Arabidopsis thaliana: one gene and its partner. The protein of the gene in region 1 interacts with the protein of each later gene in a pairwise test. Each region holds a gene or a part of one and is shown on either strand. Other genes may lie near its edges. The genes, in order: PRA1.B4 and RABA3.

Evidence for each region.
Region 2: the proteins of PRA1.B4 (region 1) and RABA3 interact in a two-hybrid assay, tested with the Arabidopsis thaliana proteins (one large-scale study listed by BioGRID).

Annotation. Positions count from the first base shown.
Region 1 is NC_003071.7:16,068,750-16,072,506, reverse strand, and holds PRA1.B4 (prenylated RAB acceptor 1.B4), read left to right. Parts: upstream 1-1,842; 5' UTR 1,843-2,004; coding exon 2,005-2,667; 3' UTR 2,668-3,121; downstream 3,122-3,757. Other genes in the region: AT2G38370 (weak chloroplast movement under blue light protein (DUF827)), read left to right, coding at 1-323; AT2G38365 (endonuclease/glycosyl hydrolase), read right to left, coding at 1,257-1,577; AT2G38350 (uncharacterized protein), read right to left, coding at 3,199-3,438. UniProt on the Arabidopsis thaliana protein: May be involved in both secretory and endocytic intracellular trafficking in the endosomal/prevacuolar compartments.
Region 2 is NC_003070.9:85,984-90,361, reverse strand, and holds RABA3 (RAB GTPase homolog A3), read left to right. Parts: upstream 1-1,952; 5' UTR 1,953-2,216; coding exon 2,217-2,482; intron 2,483-3,199; coding exon 3,200-3,647; 3' UTR 3,648-3,876; downstream 3,877-4,378. Other genes in the region: AT1G01210 (DNA-directed RNA polymerase, subunit M, archaeal), read right to left, coding at 833-957, 1,099-1,189, 1,281-1,385. UniProt on the Arabidopsis thaliana protein: Intracellular vesicle trafficking and protein transport.

The DNA of each region.
Region 1 (3,757 bases):
ACGGGTCATCATCTTCTTCAACGGTCCCAGTCTTGAAACCAACAATGTCAATAGGACAAATACTGAGCAAGAAGCTACTTCTTGCAGAGGATTCAGATATGAATGTTGCTAATGAGAGAAGAAAAATGTCGTTGGGTCAGATGCTTGCAAAGAATAGCAGTAGTGATAAAACTGTAAGCAAGAGAAGTGAAGGGAAAGAGAATGAGAAAAGGACGAAGACTCGAAAGAGAAAGAGTTTCGGATTTGCTAAGATCTCTGTGTTGTTGAACAAAGAGAGCAAGAACAAGAAGAAGAAGAAAAAGATAGCTTTGAACTTAAGGTGATATTTTGAATCTGTTGATGACTTCTTTCTGTTTTGTACGTGAACCAGTAGTTTAAGAAAACAAAGTGTATCATCAAGTGCTTTATTATAATGCTAATCTAGGCTAATTAATCCCAATACGACCATATTAGCATTGACAGAGAAACGAAACAGAGAAGATGATGAAGTATGGAATTTTTCAGTAACTTAATTCTATTACAAAGCTTCTTTTATACTCTGAGAGTTAATATGTATACATAGAACAATCAGTTAAGAGACTAACTAAATCATCATATGACTCAAGGGACTAACAAACTTATCATTTTAAACTGAGGTAGTATCTAATATCCAATGAGACTTGGAACATGATTAGGAAACAATGGTTTTGTAAACACATCTCCTAGTTAATTCTCTCTTCGTAAGTGTAGAGCCATGATCAAAGTAGCTTGGATTCTTCTTCTCACAATATGACTTTGGTGCGTTAATGAAACAATGGATTGTTGTTGGCAATGTGTATAGCTGCAGTAGTAGCCACATATGATATAGCATTGACAAATTGCCAAAACACTTGACTCTGCATTCGCCTCTGTTTTGGCCAACTCTCTGACACCTCTTTAAGCCACAAAACCATTGTAGTAGACAAGAGATTTAAATGACTTACATCTCAAGAAATCAACAAGACTGCCTAATCAATAACGCATTGATCAAAACTACTGAGACTTTCCATCAGCTTTTCATTGAAAGAAAACAAACTGAAAGATTTGAATAAAAGAGTTAAAAGAGTTCACTCCCAAGTCCCAATCACCAACCTCCATGTCCCAGAAGACGCCAATCTCAGCCGCGGCGAAATCTCTTGTGGAGCCGGGAGCGAGACATGGTTATTGGTGTTCTCTGTGTTGAAGATGACTCACCCACCTTTGTGTAATCCTCTGTCTCATAACCATCATCGTTTCTGTTATTGGTTAACTGAAGTCTCCCCTTGAACTGAAGTACTTGTCCACTTCTTGGTGACCAGTTGTGAGATCCCACGATTGAAGATAGGCTTTCCTCCATATGATAGGCTTGTCCAAAGCCACACTGCAGTTACTTGACTAAGAAGCGATTGTGATAAATCATCATCATGAGCCAAGTTCTCAGGCTGAGCTAAGAGAATATTCCCAGTCCTGCTTTTCATCATAAACGAAAGACACTTGACGTACGAGCAGTCATCTGTGATTTTGCTTGAGATTACCATGAGATTAGTTGGTATACGTGTCCGGTCAACTGTCCATAACATAAGCTCCTCCAAAAATCATAGAATGTATCCATTACCTTAATAAATCTTGATTAAATAGTAATATACCGTTATCGGAAAAATAAAATTCAATATAATAGTTTCATTCACTTTTAAAATTTTGGAAAAAATAGATATAAATATAAAACTCTTTAACATTTATCTCCCTAAAACACGAGATTTAACCTAATATAGATCATAATTAAATCAAATAATAATAGGAAAACCAAAAAGGAAAAGAGTCACGTTTATTGTCGGTGACCCGTAGCAACGAAAGAAATAGGAAGGTCAACAATTTTCTCATACCCGTATATAAAACAAATCTATCTCTCCTTCCCTCTTTAATTTATTAATCAGATCTTGCCCAATTCTTCAATTTCTTCAACCCTAATTCTTCTCTCTTTCTCAGATCTACCAAACTTGATCTCCAATGGCTTCCTCAGCACCACCAGTCCTCCCAATCTCCAATCCCCAAACCGTTCCATCCGCCGCTCCTTCCTCCGTCGAATCTCAACCACCGATCGCTACTCCAGCTTTCCGCAATTTCATCAATCAGATCACCGAAACCGTTAAAAACGGTCTCTCTAAGCGTCGTCCTTGGGCTGAGCTCGCGGATCGTTCCGCATTATCCAAACCTGAGTCGATCTCCGACGCTGCTGTTCGTATCCGCAAGAATTACTCGTATTTCAAGGTTAATTACCTCACCGTCGCTACAGCGATCGTCGGATTCTCTCTCGTCACTCATCCTTTCTCTCTCGTCTTCCTCCTCTGTCTCCTCGCGTCGTGGCTCTTCCTCTACTTGTTCCGTCCCACGGATCAGCCGATCGTTCTATTCGGTCGTACATTCTCCGATCGTGAGACGTTAGGGTGTTTGATTTTGTTCAGTATCTTTGTGATCTTCCTCACCGATGTTGGATCTGTTCTGGTTTCGGCTATGATGATTGGTGTTGCGTTGATCTGTGCTCATGGTGCTTTTAGAGCTCCGGAAGATCTTTTCCTTGATGAGCAAGAGCCTGCTGCTACCGGATTCCTCTCTTTCCTCGGTGGTGCCGCCTCTTCAGCCGCGCCTGCTGTTATCGCCGCTCGCGTGTAAATGCGATTCCGATCTACCATTCCCTCGCCTGGGTAAATCTTTCTATATGATTCATTTGTTGAATTTGATACTTAGATTTTGTTTTTTTAATCTGAAAACAATAAACGTGAAAATGTTGTGGATCTGGCCTAATTTTGGTTCTTGTTCATGGGCAATAGCTATAGATGAAATATATATCTTTGCATGATTTTGATTTGATGAAGTTTTACTACCGTTTTGTGTTAATCTTTAGCCTTTTTTAATTTACAAGTGTTGTTTTGGAAGATATGGATTTATTTCATGATCAAATTCAAAATGCAATGGATCTGTTTATTAGAACTTGTAGCCATCTTTTGATTTGTTATGTGACTACATTGCACTGCGTGTATACAATCAAAAGAGTCAAATTTGGATGCATGTGCATGCAAGATCCATCCAAATTTCACCAGTTTTCAAAAGCACCCATCATAAGACAGACCTGGATCAGAGTCGTAGGATTTAACGAAAGGAAATTACTTCCTATTGAGGATGAGCAGCAGAACAATATCCACATTACGCATTTACGCTACTTGACTTGACTTGAAATCGTGGGTCGGAGCAAATGCGATGCACAAATAATTCGATGAGCAGCTTTAGTATTGGGCTTCGTACTCGAGTCCGGCCCAGTATAAGCTCATTTACTTCTTTTCGAGTCCAGTTCGGCAAAGGCCCAATGTCTATGAAATATCGAATTGGTGGCGTATACCCTAAGCCAACAAGGAAGCTTCGTTTTAAAAATGATTTGTTACTTACCTAAAATTAATAGTATTGGGTGACAATCCACCTTACATTCTTATCTTTTTAAGGGTTTTAGCTTACGGTATAAGTCACCAATTTGACATCTTCCATCAACGAAAATTAGTAAATTACAAAAAAGTACAAAGTCTTAGTCGCAAATATCTCTATAACCAAAAGCAAAGCAATATCCTAAGTTGTATTGACCTCGGAAACTAGAATCTCCTTGAACTTGGGATTTGTCAATGCCAGTGACTTAGAAATTGTTCTTTGCGAAGGCAAAAGCTACAGTTTGTTAGTTGGCGCGCAATTTGAGCTGGGAAGAGTCCAATGAGAG
Region 2 (4,378 bases), on another chromosome or scaffold:
ATCAACCTTCTTTCATGGGTTTTGCCGTTTTATGCTCACAACACAAGGCAATGCTCATGGGTTTTGCCGTTTTATGCTCACAACACAAGGCAATGCTCCAAGTATCTGGAACTGATTGGACCATATGGTCCTTAGTGTGGACTTAGTTTTGATCTCTGGAGAATCAATCAGGTGCTGCGTCGAAATTCCCTATCTCCTACCTGAAACAGAAAGAATATAACGCTTACGTTCTATGGCTAAGGCAATCTACATTCTAACCAGAATCAATTCTAAAATCACTCTGCAAACTCAGATAAATCCATCTCTTCTACTGTTCCCAAAGAATGGCAACGACTAAAGAAGAAAGCAATATATCTTCTACTGTTCTACAGCAATGCACACAACACATCAACAACCAAATCAACAACAGAAATTAAGGAAACTGGTCTCTAGTGTATGCTCGTTAATGGGAAGACCTAAAGCAATAACAAGTTTACGAATGACGGGAATAAACTCGACATCACTAATGGCTAATGTCCAGAATCAGTAATCATTAAGCTTTACCGAACTAATTTTTAATACATTACAGATATACTCAAGCCAATAAGTATCCCTGGAAATCTCAAAACAGATCAATTTGCTTCATCTCTTTCACCTCAAAGATTAAAACTTTGCACAACATTCCAAAATTTAATCGAAACAGAAACTATTGAGCTGTGAGACAGAAAGAAGCAGAGTACATAAAGGATCTGCTAAATTTGCAATGGTAAAACAAACTCTAAGAAGGTTGCAAAAGTAGAAACTTTCAAAATTGGCAGAGGCAAAGAGACGGAGAAGATGATCATCAGTCAGTTCATTCCTCACGCCAAGTGAACTCGCACTTCAAGCATCTATAAAATCTTGATTCTGGCTCATCTGCTGAACGAATCTGCATTGATTTGAAGTATGCCTTGTCGTGGCCACACCTTGGACATGGGGCTGTTAAAACCAAACAATCCCAACATGAGAAAGAAAGTGAAACAAAAGTCTACTCTACTCTTTCCCCAAGTGAGATCAACTCTGAACCAACTCATCACAGTCCTAAAATTAGAAGAAGAGAAGACAAGAGACTGAAAATACCTTCAGTTTCAGCAGCTGTGGGTATATCATCTTTAGTCACAACAGCTTCTATAGATTTCTTAACCAGAAGTTGCTTCTTCTTTATCTCCACCTGTCAAAATTCCAAAGCACTCAGGAACAGAGGAGAGAATTTTAACGGTTTGCTCACAAACTTTCAAAAGGTATATAATTGAAAAAAGAACCTGTCTTTGGATGTAGGCGACGTATGGACATGTGGAACAGAAGAATCTCGAATTGCCACCTCCCTCGTATCGCAACAGATTCCCACATGTTGGACAAAACTCCATCTTCCACCACACCCTTCAATTCGCTGCTAAATCATTCATCCACCACATAAACCCTAAGTTTCTGTTTCTTCAACATTCTGAACCCTCTTTTTAGTTAGGAAATACTTTAATTGTTTCACCCCAACTTTTATTGGGCCTAAAATATCACGTAGGCCCAACTTATGCTACAATCCATATATTTAATTTTTCAGCAACACCATATAAAAACTAAAGAAATAGACCAAAAAAAAAGCAATAAATTCATACATGAGGTAGAAGTAGACAACAACCAACAATTGATGGAGCATAAGAGCTTTTTTAGGTGGTCTCCAGACAAATCGTGGGTTTCATGTTGTATCACTATATTGATTTAGCAAAATAATAACGTTTTTCAATTATGTCGGTCCATGCCCACAAGCCACAGCTATATTTAAACATTGTATATTCATTTTGAATCATATATAAAAAGCTAATTAAAATTATATATAAAAGAAGAGCTAATTAAAATAATGCACAGAGCATTGTTGCTGTCTTCATATATCAACACTTTTAGGTTAGGATACTCAATATTTAATTTTAGTTTGGGTTATTTCAACGACTTAAACCAAACCAAATTTACGAAATTTTGGTTTGTAGCAGTTTTAGTTTTATTAAATATGGTTGCGAATGGTTATGAGTGAATCCAACCAATCTCACTGAAGTGGTTCAGAATTTTTGTTAATTCGGTATATTCGTACTGAACCATATAAAACCAAATTTCTTCTCCTTTCTTCTCTTTTCTCTGTTTCACTCACTCCCACTTTACTCAAAAGAGACTTAAACTTTATAGTTGTTTTCTTCATCAGCGCAATAATGAACGAAGAGATGAGCGGTGAGTCGCCGGAGAATAACAAACACGTAAAGAAACCGACGATGCCGGAAAAGATCGATTACGTGTTCAAGGTGGTGGTCATTGGAGATTCTGCTGTCGGGAAAACGCAGCTCCTCTCACGTTTTACACACAACGAGTTCTGTTATGATTCAAAATCAACCATTGGTGTCGAGTTTCAGACACGGACCATCACTCTTCGGGGCAAACTCGTCAAAGCTCAGATCTGGGACACCGCCGGTCAAGAGAGGTTATATCATCTATATCCAAAAACACATTGATAATTCTTTATATATTTTATTAAGCTCTCACTTTTGGATTCAAATCATTTGTTTAGACTATCACTTCATTTCACTTGGATCACGGTAATTTAGATATGGTTTGATTTGATTTTGTAACTAAATATATTTCTAATACAATATGGAATATTTTTGTTGGGTAAAGAATTGTGGTATGGATTTGAATAACCATTGGTGTTCTTGATTTGGTTAATACAATGTCAGATTTCTTTTCTGCATATTTTGTTTTTGTCTTTTTGCAACCACTTATAGATCAAAAGGTCAAATGCAATAACTCACCGAATACTTTGTTGCATACTTGCATAAGTAAAACTTTATATTTTTCTTACCGATGCAAAAGTTTCTTTTAATATCGTTTTTTCATATTATTTTTCTTGATAAAATATGTATAAATGTTGCGTATATTTTTGTTTTGCATTAATTAAAGAGCGAAGAAATTGCAGTCTTACATTGATAATTCTTTATAGCTGAATCTCAGATTTGTATACAAATTAAATGTTAAAATAAACTAGAGTAGAATTTCGTTATATTATCTAGGATCACGATATTTAAATTTATGGGATTTTGAATAATTATTGGTCTTTCTTGATTTGGTCTGCAATGTCAGATTTTGTTATAATATATTCAATTAAAAAATATTTGTTTGCTTACCCTGTTTCGGCGGTCAGATACAGAGCGGTGACTAGCGCCTACTACAGAGGTGCGTTAGGTGCGATGGTGGTTTACGACATTACCAAACGCCTCTCATTCGACCACGTTGCACGTTGGGTCGAGGAATTACGTGCTCACGCCGATGATTCCGCCGTGATCATGCTCGTCGGAAACAAAGCCGATCTCTCCGTTGGTAAACGTGCCGTTCCTACGGAGGATGCAGTCGAATTCGCCGAGACTCAACGGCTTTTTTTCTCGGAAGTCTCGGCTCTAAGCGGCGGAAACGTCGACGAAGCTTTTTTCCGTTTACTCGAGGAGATTTTCAGCCGCGTTGTTGTTTCGAGAAAAGCTATGGAATCCGACGGTGGAGCCACCGTGAAACTTGACGGTTCGAGAATTGATGTCATCTCTGGTTCGGATCTTGAGACTAGTAATATCAAGGAACAAGCTTCGTGCTCGTGTTGAAATTTTGAGTGATAGGCCATAAAATCAAAAGCCAATTATTGGGCCTTTCTTTAAGCCCATATATGACTCGGATCTTTGTTTGGGTTTTTCATGTTTAGAGAATTAGAGGTGGTGCTTATAGTAAAATCAAAAAGCTATTCATGTGTCACTCGTAATCTCTTTGACATTCTTGTATATGTAAAGAAAAAACAATTCTTTTATTCTGTCAAGTTCCAAGGAGTTTCTTCTATTCAATCAAAATGTTAAGTAAAAACTAGAGTTTTATCAATATTTCTAGCAAGGAATTTTTTAAAAAAAAAGTCTAAACTATATGGTAGTGAAATGATGGAGATTTGTTTTCAAAGATTAGGATAGTGAAATGATCAGAACCACAATAAGTTCATTAAGTAGATATTTCGTGACATCAATTGTGAGTGTCACGTTAGAATCTGGAATATAATCCAAATCTAATGGAAGATATGATTCTATTTATTTTTGCATGCAACCGAATCATTTGAAGTGCTCCAATCACAAACTCGCTTTTCCTCTTATGACCTAAAAAGGAGAGTATATTATATAATCAGATATATAAAACATCACACATTAATATTTACATTGTATCTAAGCACATATGATTAATCGGCCACCAAGTGCTTTGTGACTACTTAGTTTTCTATGCTGATACCTCTGTATTATGTGTAAAGTTACTAATTAGTTTATGTATATTAGCAAAAGAAAGATTCTTATATAAG